Schizosaccharomyces pombe: one gene and its partner. The protein of the gene in region 1 interacts with the protein of each later gene in a biochemical or structural test. Each region holds a gene or a part of one and is shown in the gene's direction. Other genes may lie near its edges.

The links.
Region 2: the proteins of apm1 (region 1) and sip1 form a complex in vitro, tested with the Schizosaccharomyces pombe proteins (2 studies listed by BioGRID).

Annotation. Positions count from the first base shown.
Region 1 is NC_003423.3:1,906,376-1,915,197, forward strand, and holds apm1 (AP-1 adaptor complex mu subunit Apm1), read left to right. Parts: upstream 1-3,765; 5' UTR 3,766-3,804; coding exon 3,805-3,866; exon of another isoform or gene 3,867-3,941; coding exon 3,942-4,047; exon of another isoform or gene 4,048-4,117; coding exon 4,118-4,765; intron 4,766-4,843; coding exon 4,844-5,308; 3' UTR 5,309-5,440; downstream 5,441-8,822. Other genes in the region: ubiquitin-conjugating enzyme Ubc7, read left to right, coding at 9-66, 116-369; ribosome biogenesis protein Yar1, read right to left, coding at 857-1,297; ribosome biogenesis protein Nop8, read left to right, coding at 1,757-3,193; fmo1 (flavin dependent monooxygenase), read right to left, coding at 5,761-7,104. UniProt on the Schizosaccharomyces pombe protein: Component of the adaptor complexes which link clathrin to receptors in coated vesicles. Clathrin-associated protein complexes are believed to interact with the cytoplasmic tails of membrane proteins, leading to their selection and concentration.
Region 2 is NC_003423.3:1,333,954-1,341,033, forward strand, and holds the start of sip1 (Pof6-interacting protein Sip1 AP-1 accessory protein), read left to right. Parts: upstream 1-1,757; 5' UTR 1,758-1,770; coding exon 1,771-2,017; intron 2,018-2,061; coding exon 2,062-2,140; intron 2,141-2,178; coding exon 2,179-2,227; intron 2,228-2,276; coding exon 2,277-5,729; intron 5,730-5,769; coding exon 5,770-6,985; intron 6,986-7,029; coding exon 7,030-7,080. Other genes in the region: SPOM_SPBC27B12.07 (uncharacterized protein), read left to right, coding at 159-542, 654-978, 1,046-1,209.

The DNA of each region.
Region 1 (8,822 bases):
TTATGTAGGATTATCCTCTTGGCCCCCCTACTTTAAAGTTTGAGTGTGAATTTTTCCATCCAAATGGTATGCCAGATACTATTAATCCAAATTTCGAGACTAACCTTCATTTCAGTTTACAAAGATGGGACGGTTTGCATTTCCATCCTACATGCACCTGGTGACGATCCAAATATGTATGAGTCGTCTTCAGAACGTTGGTCTCCTGTTCAATCTGTTGAAAAAATACTGTTATCGGTAATGTCGATGTTGGCGGAACCAAACGATGAAAGTGGTGCTAACATCGATGCGTGCAAGATGTGGAGAGAAGATCGAGAAGAATATTGTCGTGTAGTTCGACGATTGGCTCGTAAAACCTTGGGATTATAACCATGAATTGTATATTTGATTAGATTGCCATGAATAACGAACCTGATAAAATCTAGAAATAAAGTTTTGTTCCATTTTTGAACGCAACCGGTAGGCTTTTCTCTTTCTATTCCAACGTATAACGCTACATAGGTTTAATTACAAGGTTTAAACAAAAATGAAAGCACTTTTCCAATTCAATTTCTATCTGTAAATGATGGAAGATAAACATTTTGTCTATTGAGATAATCCATCTTTTAATAAACATCACTTGAACTTTCTACACAGATACATGGCAACGTACATCGCTGAAAACGAATTATATTGAGAAAACATCTAGAAATTACACAGTAAAAAACTTAACAAAATATAAGAATAACCCCAAATTATGCTCCAAAAGAAAAAAAAAATGCATCAGGTGCATAAAAATATTAGCTTCCCACAACCTACAAAAGAAAGAGGTAAATTTTTTTACAAAATAAAAATCAGAAATTATCAAATAAAACGATCATATTCCATCTTCCAATTTTTCTTCATCACCAGTGTTTTCTTCACTACCTTTAGCAATCTCAAAATCCAGAAAAAGGTCCATTACTTTTTGCTGATTTCGAATATCAGCTTCATATATAGGTGACTTCTCATAAATATTCTTAATATGAGGATCACCTCCCGCTTCCAGTAGTAATTTGCAAATTTCAGCATGTCCATTCAGTGCTGCCCAATGCATTGCGGTGTTTCCACTCTCATTCTGAGCATTTATTACTTCTTTATTCAAGTACGGGATTATTTTTTGAACAACAGCGATGTGTCCATTAGCACTAGCCATATGAAGTCCAGAGTTACCATTTTCATCACGACGACTTAATTCTTGTGGACATTTCTCTATAATCTCATCTAGTAACTCCTCATCCGCAGCTCTACAAGCGTAAATTAAATCATCAACATCCATATTAAACTATCCAATCCAGTAAAGAAGGATGTTTTACCGGTTTATTTGGAAAGAGAATGATGTGAAAACTGTTCGTTTGTTAGTGTAAGGTAGCCGCGGCTTCTCCAACTTGGCTTCGGCAAGGCCGTGGTTACTTACTACACCACAAATTCCATTGCAATTTTATATAATTATTCAACGAGAACCTGCCTTCTACAGCAGGTTAATTTTTGATTTATAAGAAGGAGAAAAAGAAGTTACAGGAGTGTTTATTTCCGAAAGTCATAGAGATTTAAACCAGTATATATGCTTTCCTTGTAAAAAATTTCATTGCTCACACAGCTCTCGATTCCTCATCTAAATAGCTATCTGGTAGCGATTGGTAGACTATTTTTTCGGGTTTATTTCCCATTATATTTCAGACACTCTTTTTGACCTGCGAAACTTTTTGTCCTCATTTTGTATCAATTGACTTCAATAATGGAGTTAGAAAAACGGATTTATGTTGGTGGCCTTTCATCCTCTATTGAATCTTCAGATTTGGAATCCAGATTTTCTCGTTTTGGAAGTGTTTCAAATCTTGAAATTATAAACAAATCTACTCCAGTAGGAACTATACAACGATTTGCATACTTGAATTTTCGAACAGATGAAGATAAATGGCAGAAATGCAAGTCTTACTTATCAAATGCGACGTTTAAAGGAAGTAAACTTCGTATAGAGGAAGCTCGCCCTTATTATTTAGTAAAATTGCAGCAGGAAAAAAAAATTGCTGATCTTCAAAGTACTAATAATGATGAGAAAAATGAAGATCACTCCAGCAAAGTTGATCTGGAAGACCCAGTCTTTCATGGAGAAATAATTGTTCCCGGAAAACATAGTAAAAATATGCAGGTGGTCACGGATTCTGATGTTCGGAAGGATCCTCCTAGAAAAGGTTGGAAAAAAGGCCCCTATGGAAGGGCCATTGTCGTGCTTCGAATGTATAATAAAAATACTAAGAAAACGAGGTTTTTTTATCCGCTGGGTAAAAACTGCTTACAAAAACTATGGGGCCGAGTGGAAACGAATATGGACAATACTACAGCTTTTTATGATTCTGATCATGATGAGTATGTATCATATGGGGGTAAGAGAGCTTCTCGTGACAAAATACGTATGCAAGCAAAATTGGGTATCAAAGCTTCTACTCAGAAGGATGATAACGATTTTGAACTTCTTAATAACACAACTGGGGAGATTGAAGTCACAAAAGAATTAAACGAAGAGCAATTGGATGCTTTGCGAAAAAAAGATAAGGATACGGCTGCATCTGTGTTAGCTGAACTGTTTGGTTCTGAAAATACAGAAGAAATTGATACCGTATCTAAAACTTCAGGTGTTTTGGAACTGGACAATGATTCGACTAATAATTTCCAAAAAGAAGGTTTGGATGAACAAGATAATTTACAAAAGGAAGAGTCCGTACACATAGATGTTCCTGCTGAATTTGAAGCATTTGATGAGCGTACTGCTGTTGTTAACGTTGACAATTTAAAAGAAATGTTTTCTTCCAATGCGCAGGATACGTCTAAGTTTTCTCTTTTTGGCAATGAAAATGGAGTTGGTGAGGAAAGTGAAATGGAAAGTGAGATTGATGACCGTAATTACGAAACTATGGAAGAAGAGGCAGATGGGGAAACTCCGCTAGCTATAGTTAAAGCCTCATCGGGTACCAAGGGTTGGCCAAAAATGTTTACTCTACCCAATCCTTCTTCCCTATTCCAACCAGGTAATGAAGATTATACGAGCAGAGAAGCTCTTGAATCCTGGTGGTCGGAAAATCGTCTATTCTTAACTCGTGATTACAAACGAAAAAGAAAAGATGCCGTAAAAAGACAGCGAAGGGCTCATGAAAAGCGTATTCGACTTGTTTAAAGACGCGTATAGGTTATGTATTTATTGGGAATTTATTTGGGTATTTTAAGGTTACGAGGTATATATTGATTTTTTACACACTTTTGGAATCTTTACGTTGTTATTTCTCTATCCTTTTTATTTTAGAAAAAAATCTGTGTCTTTTTAAAAAGCCACGATGTTCACTTTGGTTTTATCATTGGTGAAAGTTAACAACTTTTTTCGTTGCACTTTCTTGGGATTTGTGGCTTTTAATATTTACAATGTTTGAGATCAAATTTTATTAAAATATTTGTTATTCTTATTGTTATAAGCCAAAGTTGTCAAATAAAACATACCGAAATTTTCTTACATTGTCAGAAAAATTATTTTCCTTTTCGGCATTTACAAAACCATATAATGTAAATTAGTTATAATTATCTGAATAGATTATCTTATAAAAGAAGACTGAATGTGTGCATAGAGTAGTAATTACTCAATATAAGAAGAATTTCGTACTATATGTAAGAAACAGAAATAGTGAATTACGCTGTATTACACTAGCGGTGCTTAGGCACGGTGATGAGGCAGCCAACAGTCAATGCTAGTTATCCAGAGCGAAACTAGCTGCCTTATTCGCGGCTTCTGTAAAAATGGCTTCTGCTATATTCGTTCTGAATTTAAAGGGAAAGGTAATCATTTCCCGTGATTACCGGTAGGCAATTTTGAAATCTGAATGAAAATCAGATTGTCGCAATTCGTCGACAGGTTACTAACAGAAAACAATTAGAGCTGATATCCCCATGTCAGTAGTTGAAAAGTTTTTACCTTTAAAATCAGAAGTTGAAGAAGAACAAGGATTCTCCACCCCTTGTCTCACTCACGAAGGCATTAACGTATGTAAAAGTTAGATATTATGAAAGCCAACAATTCTTATTTTTTTATGGTCGTACTAACACTTTTCAGTACATTTACATTCACCATAATGATGTCTACCTCCTTGCTTTATCCAAAATGAATTCCGATGCAATGGAGATGCTAGTATTTTTGCGTAAAATGGCGGACGTTTTTATAGATTACTTTAAAGAATTGCAGGAAGAGTCGATTCGAGATAACTTTGTTCTTGTTTATGAATTGTTAGACGAGATCATGGATTTCGGTTTTCCACAAACAACTGAAACAAAAATCTTGCAAGAATACATCACTCAAACCTCAAATACGGTAAAAAAGCATGCTCCACCCCCCATTGCTATGACAAATGCTATCTCCTGGCGTTCTGAAGGAATTCACTATCGTAAGAATGAAGTATTTTTGGACGTTATTGAATCAGTTAATTTAATTGCTGCTGCCGATGGTACGGTCATTCAAAGTGAAATCTTAGGAAAAGTTCGTCTCAAATGCTACTTATCAGGAATGCCTGAACTTCGTCTTGGGCTCAATGACAAGGTCCTTTTCGAAGCGGCTGGTCGTACCATTAAAGGAAACACTGTGGAAATGGAAGATGTGAAATTTCACCAATGTGTTCGTCTTGCTCGATTTGAAAACGATCGTACAATTTCGTTCATTCCTCCTGATGGCGAATTTGATTTAATGTCCTATCGCATGAGTTCAAATGTAAGTTATTAGTTTGTGCCTGTTCTTTTTATTCCCTCTCTCCTTTATCAACGTTTTCTAATATTAATTTCTCGTTAGGTACGGCCATTAATTTGGGTTGAATGTGAATCCATCGTGCATTCAGGTTCGAGAATTGAGTTTATGGTAAAAGCTAAGGCTCAATTCAAAAAGCGTTGTATTGCAAATAATGTCCAAATCATCATTCCCGTTCCGGAAGATGCTGACAGTCCTCGGTTTCAAACTAGCAATGGTCATGTGCAATATGCACCTGAACAAGCTGCCATGGTTTGGAACATTAAGAAATTTGCAGGTGGTAAAGAATTTTTCATGCGTGCTGAAATGGGTTTACCAAGTGTTAAAAATGAAGATATTCAAGTTCAGAAAAAACGTCCTGTTCAACTAAAATTTGCTATTCCCTATTTCACTACCTCAGGGATCCAAGTTCGTTATTTAAAAATCACCGAACCAAAACTTAATTATCATGCTATGCCTTGGGTTCGATATGTTACACAAAATGGTACTGAATATTCCATCCGTCAGTAAATGTTTCTAATGATGGTTCTCCGTTCCGTTCTTTTTTCTACCTTTAGATACCTTTCCCTTCATCTATATATTTGTTTTCTTAGTGTACTGATCCCATTTATTACGAAATGAAATCTTGTTTGCAGACGCGCTAATCCTTTTTCTTACTCAGCTGACATAAAAGGAGCATTTGCTTGAAACATAAATGTCTAAGTCTATTTATTGTATAAAGGATAAGTTCAATGTTTTTATTAAAACAGAAATAAAGATTTTCTAACATACAATTCCATTTACTCAGTAGTGAATCTCCGTGTATTAAAAATACATAAAAGACAGATTGTTCCAAACGGTTTTCTAAACATAATAAATTAAAAACCAAAAGCGAGAGAATGAGAGGGAGACCGGATAGTAAGAAAAAGATTGAAGGGAAAAGTTTAAAGGTCTAAGGGTGTAATGAGTTTTCAAGTACGTATTTACTTTGGAGGTTCAATTCCGAAAAACTTAGCACGGATGGACCACATGTTTTCACGGATGCTTCGTTCCTTCTCGCCCCAATACGGTGACGGAAACTCTTCTTCAAGAACAGGTGTAGCCTGTTTACACCAGTCGTGTAGCTTGTTAATGTAGGTAGCGTCTTTTGGATAATCCAAAGAGTGATACATATTATTTGCTCCACTCAGCGAAAACATTAATTCGTCTTGCCATTTCAGCTGCTCTTCTTTGCTGGGTAATTTGAGGCGACCAGACCAAACTCGCGCGAGGAACGCTGCCTGTGCTTGACTAGTAGGGAAAGGAACAACGTGTAGAGCTAAACCAACAAAAGCCAGAGTTGGATCGGGGATATAAAATATATGTTGATAGACATTGTGCACATGACTACCATCATCAATCAACTTGGTTTCAGGGGATTTCAACTTAGCCAGGGAAGGAAATGGTACGGAATACAAGTATCCGGTACAATAAATAACTCTGTCAATATTAGATAACACTTTTCCACCTTTCAAGTATATTTCCCTAGTGGTAGGATCGAACTTAGTAATTTCAGGTACTTGTTGCAACGATTCATTCTGTATGTCCCCTCCACCAAGAAGACTTTGATATATAGGGTGCTTAGCGACTGGCGTCAAGTGTCGGACGAGATCGTTTGCAGAAGAAGCACCACCAACTACAAGTACTGATTCACCCACGAATAATTCTGGTTCACGGAATAGCGATGAGTGTAGAACTGACCCCGGCACGGCTTTAGCGTATTCATCGAGACCTTTAATATTGGGGATATAGGGTACTTCATAATGACCATTACAAATTGAGACTGCATCAAAGATATCTTTACTAATCGGGCTTCCGGCTTTCGTTCCTTTGTATGTCACGACCCAGGAGCCATCCTTCTTTTCTATATCTAGGACATCGGTGGCTAATTTTATAAAGGGCAGCAGAGGTTGTGCATATATCCGTTGATATTCCTGAATGGTATGTCGATGGGGGAATTGAAGAGTTTGGGGTTTAAAGCTTTGATCACAATAACCCATCAACTCAATTGGGGTATTAGTTTGCAGATCACGATACAAAGGTGAAGGATACACAGGTAAAGCAGCTGGTCCGACAATGGGTTCGGTTGTTAAAATGGGATTTGTGCTAGGAACCGGTAACTTATTTGATAAAGTACTTGTATAGTTCCAAACACCACCCGGAGACCCCCTTCGCTCAAAAAGCGTGACCTGGTCAAACGCCTTTTCTGCTAACAGCGCTTTAGCCGTAACTAATCCAGAGGGACCAGCACCAATGATTGCAATTTTTCGAATTGTTGGAAGACACATAAGAACAAAAGAGAAAATGATAATTTTTTGATTAGTACCAAGTAAATTAAGATATTTTTTTTTCTGTACAAAGAATAACAGAATGAAACAATATCCAATTGTGAAGGAGTGTAATTGAATGAAAACTACACTTTATGTGCGTTTTATATCTTTGCACGTTCCGATTGTCCTCAATCTGCCAGGGGGCCTTGAAATCGCTGATAAAGCTATAGCTTATTGGCTAAAAAATAGAAGTGCTGGTTAGCGATACACATATTGAAGCCAGACACTATCTGTATATATAGTTTGTTATGGATTCAAAAACGCATCCGCTTTTCGCAACTTTAAACAATCTTTTCATCATACTCAATATTAAGCACGACTAAATTACAACATCCGATCAACATTTTAGTAATCCAAGTTCTGTTATAAGCGAGCCATATGACAAAAATGGGACATTTGAATTTCTCATTTAGAGCAAATTAAAATAATAAATGTAGTTTACACCTCTTGATGGATTTAATAATTAAGATCAAGCTGATATCCGAATGTAAATTTGACCTTGGCAACGGATTATCAAAGAGAAAATTTTTTTAGCGTCCAATGATAACAGCGTTTAAGAATTAGTTACTTATAAAGACCGAAGCGATCTTCCAGATAATGAATAGCAATACATTAGATGTGAACCTATTAATGTTGTTTAAAAGATCTAGTAAGGGCATTTTGAAAGGAAATCATGCTGATGAAAAAAAAATATATCTTTATCTTCCTAACACTTCTTGCAATGGCCATAAGAGAAAGTACGTCTCTGCTGCTCATACTTTTCAAGCATGTTGAATGCTTCAAAGTAAATGATTATAGTAATTTCCCAAATAAATATAGTTAGGTGACTTACTGACTCCGCCTAACGCGTAAGTTGGATTGTTGAAACAATTAAGCTCTTGCTGTTACAACGGTATAGCTTAATACCCAAATAATTACTTAAATGCTTTAAATCATCATAATACCAACAAACGTTCGTTTTTATAATCAGAGACAAGAAGATTTTAAGATTTGCAGGGAGGTATACTCATATATAAATTCATTGTATTTTAGAGTACTATCAATTATGTATCTCAAAGAGTATATAGTAATACATGAAATAAAAGTTTTTAAAGTTGAATTATAATTTGATGTTCTATAATTGGGGTGAATGCACCCTAATTGACAATAGAGAATTCTACGAAAAAAATCATGCATCCAGGATAGTCATATAGGATTTTGGTTAAAATTGGCAGCACAATATAGTTTTTGATGCAATTACAGTTAACATGCATAATACTTGTTTTGAAAAAAAGTTATGAATAAAAGCTCAATTGTAAGCACATCACAAAGAACGATTTTTAATCGTAATTGACGATATGTAATTTTGGATTTCATATAAAATTGTAACTACTTATTAAATGATCATTAGGGGAAATAGCGCACACTGTTTTATATCCTCTTCAAATTTACAAAATGAAATTAATCAATTTTAGCAATTTACCTATTTTATATGATTGAATTGAATTGAAAAAACCATGAGTTGATTATGACGCTGAAAGAAAGACATATAAGATCCTTAGGACACTACAACTCTTTCTACTTGAATGCGAAAGTGGATTGGTCTCACCAAAAGATTACCGTACACAAGAACTTCGGTGCTCTAGCAAGTTTTCTTTCAACCAGGGCAATTGCAAAACGAAGAAATTCTAGTGGTA
Region 2 (7,080 bases), 570 kb from region 1:
TTATTATTTTCTATGGGTACACCCATACTACTCCTTTACGCCTTCTGATATGTACATTTAACATTCACCACAATCATCGTACCCAATTTTTAACAAAAATTAATTATGTCTGTTAATAAGTTGCTTAATTTATAATCAAAATTTGGTAGCTTGACAAAATGTTCTCTTTGCTACGAAAAGCTATAGATGTTAATCGATCCCGAATTACCTTGCATGGGATTAAAGTGCATAGTATCAATACTTTTCGTTTAATTCCTTATTCTTTATCCTTAACGAAGCAAATTCGATTTTATGCATCAGAAGGGACAGATGCAGGTGAAATGGAAAAGGGTCTTTCAGTAGTAAATGCCAATCACGAAAATCGTCCTTTCAGAGACCTTGAAGGATATCACTTCAACACATTTACATTTTTGAAAACTTTAATGGATAAAGGATATACAGAAAAAGAGGCCGAGGGTCTTCTCGAAGTCACGAATATGTTTGTTACTGATATGCTGCGACATAGTCATCTCAATTACCTGTCTGAAGCTGATTTTGAAAATGTACGTATGATTTATTAAGCTACAGAATCCTTCCGTCTTTAAATTTATCTTTAATTATAGATTGACGGTTTTTTTTGCTTTCAAATGAACTGTCATAGCTAACTTGTATAGTGCTCCTATTTGTTTCGTACAGCTTTGTCGGAGCTTCGCTCAGAGAAAATAAATATGAGAAAAGATCAAATCAGTTCGTTACGTTCAGGCTTGTTTTCAAACCAAAGGGAAGTAGAAAGTTTGGAACAATTGGTTCACGAGCAGTTAAACAAGCTTAATACCGAAAGCAAAATGGAGTTTGAAAATCGGAAAAATGATACAAAGAATGAAGTCCAGCAATTGAGTGCAAGAATTGTTGAACTACACAATTTATTAGCCGTTTCGTTAGGTAAATTGAGGGCTGAAAATGAGAGGCAGAAATGGGACCAAATAAGAAAAGCAGCAGGTAAGTATATTTATAGTTCAAACTAGGTATTTGAAATTTCATTTATTAATTTCCTTTTCTTTTTCAGGTGTGGTGATGGCTTTTACAGGGTTTTTAGTGCTGGTTATTCCATTTGGACTTGGAGTACGAAGCAGAAAAAAAGAAAAACAAGATGAGCTTGATAATTTAGGTTCATTTAATTTAGATAACAAGCGCGATGATTATACTGATACTAATCTCTCCCATATGTGAGTTATGGCCAGCAAAGCATTTCGAGCTCTTCATTAATATCTGTCCTTTCTTTTTTTTTGTGTTTTCTTCTTTGTTTATGAAAATGTTCAATTAGGTTTTATGGAAATATGCAAATATTAAGTTTTATTAGTACTCCTTCTGATCATGAGACCCCTTGTTCTTATTGTACATGGAAATACCATTATGAATAGCATAATAATTGTTTGCATTGCAGATGCTCATACTAGCGTTGAGCTGTGATTTTTGCCTTCTCAGACAAAATTTTTGTCCATTTCAAAACTAAATCTATAAATGACTTTTCGTTGTTTTATTTAATTTTAAAATTAACGATACTCGGAATGGCTATTGCATTCTAGTAGTCTCCTACAATTTAAAACATCTTTGTGTTCGTGGTTGATAAGTAAAGTGGTTAATTATAATGATAATAATAAATATATTATCTATAGACTATTTGATTATTAATTTATTGTAAATCGTGTAAATGTCGACTGCAGATTTCAGTACCTCGCAACTCAATGTATATAGATTTAGCCTAGGGAAATTGGTTTGGCCGCTCCACATATGTCGTTAGCATCATTGCCGCTCGAAAAGTTGACGAAAGTAGCTGATGTAGATAAGAGGGAGACCATATATATTGATTTACTCAATTACGAAAAACAATTGAGGAATCTGAACAAAAATACTCGCGAGGATTCATTACAAACTAATTTAAATCCCCTACTTTCGTTAATCAAAAAATATGGAAATTTTATTGCTTATCCAACTAGAAAACTTCTTTCTAACTGTATAATTGCACTCTTAAAAGGACGTATGTGAGATTTATGGAAAATGGTATATGTTAACAAGTATTAGTCGAGGGTTATCATCAGCATCGAGTTTTACTTTACTTCGTGGATAGCATTCATGAGAAAAAAGACTATATAGAGATTATGTATGTCTAGAATATTTGAAATATCAACTAACCGGTAGTAACGTTTTATCCGTTCTGACTTCTTGCTTGGAAGAATATGGAAATCAGGTATTACTCTTTTGGATATTTTCTATAAACTTATAATTAACCTTAATAGATCAATCAGCAAGAGACTTTTATAAGATTTTTCTTCAAATATTCGAAAACCAATTTGTCATATGGAGTTCGCTCAATCGCATTAGATGGACTGTCGAAATGCATTGAAACATCTATTCAGTCTACGAATGAAGATTTGATAAAAGAAATATGGAAATGTATTAAATCAAATTTAAACACTTCATCAACGAATGTTCTTTTATCTGCACTTCGTTGCGCTTACTACATTCTGGGCTCTTCACGTCTTCGTAATTCAGAATTGGAATGGTTCAAATCTTTTCTATTTAAAAAATCATCAATTGATAATTCTTTGCTCCATTCTTCTTTAGGAAGATGCTTTTCTGCACTTGCAAGTGCTCAAGCTGACAAATCGATTGAAGCCGCTGCAAACGCAGTACCCTCAACTCCAGCGGATGATGAGAACAATGAGGAAGTAGAAAATCGGTCTACTACTCGCCGTTTTGATGAAACTGAGAGTTTTCGTCACGCCCTACGGATTCTTGTCGAAAATTATCACTCCAAGCATGCAAAGTATGAAAGCTCAAAAGCGGTTCTTGTTTTTGCCGTTAAGCATCTTTTTCTAATGCAACGTCCATCCTTTGTTTCTCTCAACTACACTACTATAGTGGATATTATTCTATTACACCAATCACACTCTACTTCAAAAGAATGGTTGTCTTCGTTGGAGCAATATCATTGTACATACTTGTTTCGCGATGTGATTGGAAGGCGATTTCTCGATCAAAGCTCTGAATTGCAGGGAATTGAAATACTTTTAAAGAGAGTGTTAGAGCCTTATTTAAAAGATCAGTCGAAGATTTCGGAAATTGCTGTTAAGACTGCGATGGCTTCCACCGCTGATATATTAAGCCGATCAAAGGGTTCGGCTACTGCTTTATATAGTCAGTTACTAGATACTACACTACAGATTCTATACTTGGGTAAAGATTCATTGAAGAATGAAGTAGCCTGGTTGCTGCGCTGTTTACTATCCGTTATGCCTTCTCCTTTAATGCCCACTTTGCTTGCTCTTTTTAATAGATTAGAGTTGGAATTTAAGCACCTTCGTTCTAAACCTAAGGAAGTAAGTCCCAAATTGAATGTTGGTATTTTCAATAATCTTACTTTGTCGTTGATGTCGATTTATGTTGCCGCCGAAGAAAATCCTCTATATGTTGCTTCTTCTATATTTTCAAAGTTATTTAACTTCTCTTTGGATTTGATTAAGTCATCATCTAAATTGGATTTATTAGCGGCACAAGCACAAATCAAGACTGGTTGGCGACTATTAAGCGCTTACGTTTCTTTTGGTCCTTCTTTTACTAGAATGCAATTGTCCCAATTGCTAATTTTATGGAAGAATGCCCTTTCCAGAGTACCTTCAAAAATACATTCACAAAATTTCATGGAGACAAATGCAGACATGTTTAATCGGTTTGAAGCGTTACAGTGCTTGCTTTCGTTTTTGGAGTATAACAAGATTTTATTCACACCTGATGTTAGGAAGCGAGTCATTATTTTCCTAAATAACTGCCTTAAATTCTACAAAGCTTTTTCGTTAACCAAAAGGCTTGAAATTACCATGCCAATTCCCGCTTCAGATTATTCTCACTTGGAACTTCGCTCTCTCTTGCTTGCTCGGATTTTCCAATGTTTCTTCGAGTTGTCTCAGTTAAGTGGAATGAGTTTAGATGATCAAGAATTACTATCCACGACTGTGTCTACTATAGCCGAACTTTCTTCTTTACAAGGATATGATACTGCGGACGAAATAGTTCAAGCGAAAGCCTTTACTTCTCCAAGAGTTATACCTGGAATTGGTTCACGATTTTACGCTCAGCCAGAGGAAGAATTTCAAACAACCATGGATGATATACTTCCTTGTTATATTTGCGAGTCATCTTCTGATTCCCTGTCAGTGATTTCGAGATCAAACTCTGCAAAACTTCCTTACGTACCCCCGTCTTTAACTTCTTTAATTGATAACGCGATCCAGTTATTTGCGTCTATGTTTTGTCATCAACCTCCGAAGGTTATGGAGAGCACTCTCGAAATTATGGTAGCGTCTGTGACAAACCTCAAGAGTGGGAGAGATATTTTACGTTACAAGGCAGTAACAGCAAATACTTTATTTTCCATTTATGGATTTCTCTCTGCTTTCGATAACAAAAAAGTTACCTTGCCTGACAAGGTTGTATCCCTTATGATAGAATTGCTCGAAAACTTGACTGCTGTTAACGATCCGAAGTTAATTCCTTACATTTCGAAATCTTATGCGTTTTTGGCATATTTATATCAAAGCAAACCGACGTCCGTTTTGGATACAATAATTAAACGTGCTGCAGAGTCGGGAGATCCAAATTGCAGGGCTGTCTTGATTCTAGCCGTTGGCCATATATTAAAAAAGGTTGGTTCCGGAGTTCCCCAAACTACCCTCATCACCGCTTATCAGCTGCTCAAAGTTTTTAATACTGATTCGAATGACCTTGTTAGAGAGTGTTCTATTCGTGCTTCTTCCGTTTCTCTTGGGTCTATCGCAAAGACCATTCCGAGTGTTTTAACTGCCCAGACACGCATTTTATTGAGCTATATGCTATTGCCAGAATGTGATATTGATGTTCAGCTCTTAAAGAAGAGAAACAGTTTATTTTTCCCGTCCACTCTTTTTGCCAATTACTTGGATTGTTTGATAAATGAGCTTGGACCAAACTTGCGATCCGATTCTTCTACTTCGCATTTCGCATTCGATTTAGCTCACCAATTGCTTTTACTTAGTAGAGATACGGGAGATAACATTATACACGTTTACAAATGTTATCAGCACCTATATCTATTTACACCATTAGAAACCAATTCTGATTTCTTCATTAGGGAGCTTTGTGGTAACATAATTGACCTAAAGCAACCTAAACGTAGGGAAATTTCTATTGAAGTTTTATACCAAATATTGCTTCAAAACCATGAGTTCTCGGAATCATGTTATAAGCGACATTTTGATAGGCTTATTTGGCAATCACTCGACACCACTCCTGACAACAAGCTTTTGAAGAACATACTGTATATCTGGCTAAACGATTACAAAGATTCGGACATACACTCATGGGTAAATATTTTACTTTTTCTTGTCGGCATAAAAAATACTTCGAGTTCTGAAAGATCCAACGAACAAGATATACAAAACAACCTAGATGAAGATACCGTATCTTTGGCTTATGGAACTTCCGAAAACGCAAGTAATCCATTATTCCAGAAGAATTACCGTTGGCAGACGCAGTTTTATGCAGCTACATGCCTTAAAACATGTATCTCTGAAGTGATGGCCGAAAATAAAGAGCCCGCAAAATACTTGATTTCTAGGATATCTGACCTAGTCCGTGCTGCTTTTGTTTTGTCTACTTCAGACAACTTTTACTTGAAGCAGGGGGGTTTTGAACTTTTGGATACTATCATAACGGTAAGGATAATCTAAAGGAAACTCGCTAACAATTTTTTAGGACTTTTCGAATGTTATGGATCCTGACTTTGACGATGTTTCTCTTTTGGACCAATTTCAAGCTCAAATCAGCTCTGCTTTTAGTTCCGCGTTTGTAGATGATTCATCTCCTGAAATAGTAGCCATGTCTCTTAATATAGCTTCCAATTTTATTGGAACTGGACTTCTAAAAACCGAATCGCAAGCAGCTAAAATCCTCAATTTATTGAAAGAAGCGTTGGAATCTAGTTTACCAGAGAGGGCTGGATTTGAGGAAAATCGTCACTTTAAGTATGACTCGAAATATTTTCTTCGTATTGCTACTTTATCAGCTTGGGCTTCTTTGCTGGTACATTCAGCGAATGTGTCATATTTGAAAGAATTTCTTTCCTCTAACATCCGAAGGCTATCTTCGCATTGGATTATGGCTTTAAGAGGATATTCCAGATTGCAATTTGGTCCTAGTTTAGTAAAAGATTTTGTAGCTGATACCTCTTTCACTCGGGTCCAAAGTATAAACCCTAAAATACTTCTCAATATTTATGAGAAATCTTGGCTGAACATCGCAGAGTCATTAACAATATTACTTTCTACTGATGCAAATCTGATTTATGGAATATTAAGTGGAGATGAGCTGTCGCTTTCTGAGGAGGACGTATTCTTCCAAGACAACATAAATTATGCTTCCAACAGGTACTCTTTTAACTTTTTTTTGTTTAGTGTCTGCTTCCAATCTCTCTTAATTCCAAGCACTTTGCAAGGCTTTAGAAATCCAGTTTTCAGAATTATGCGAATTATGACTGAAGTTTTAACTGAAGAATTATGTACCAAGGTTCTTTATGACCATAATGTGTTCCCCGAAGTTGTTGATCTTTTAGTTCGTTTGATTTTGACGGAGGATTGGGAAACGAAGGCTAGTATTGTCATTTTTGTGAAAAAGTTAGCTCTTGCTAACCCGGCACACAATGACTTGAAGTTTTGTGAAACAGATTCTGTAACATCTATGGAGCCTACTGTATCAGAAAGCGTCGAAATGCTTTTTCAATTGGTCAAAATATTGACATTAGCTTTAACGGTTAGAGTGCCGGGCCTACGTTCTGATCCAGCTGAATCAGCTACCAATAAAAAAGCTAGTGAATTTGTTATTTTGTGTTTTAATGCATTTCTTGATGTTTCCAACATTTTCCCCGCTATTGTGCGTGTTGATTTATTTGCGACAGCAATGCATGTTTATGAAGGTAAGTCCTAAAAATAAACGAATAATTTCATGCTAACTGTCTAGTCATTATGGACGATCAACAACTATTAAAAAATTCTAAGCAAGAGTTGTTAG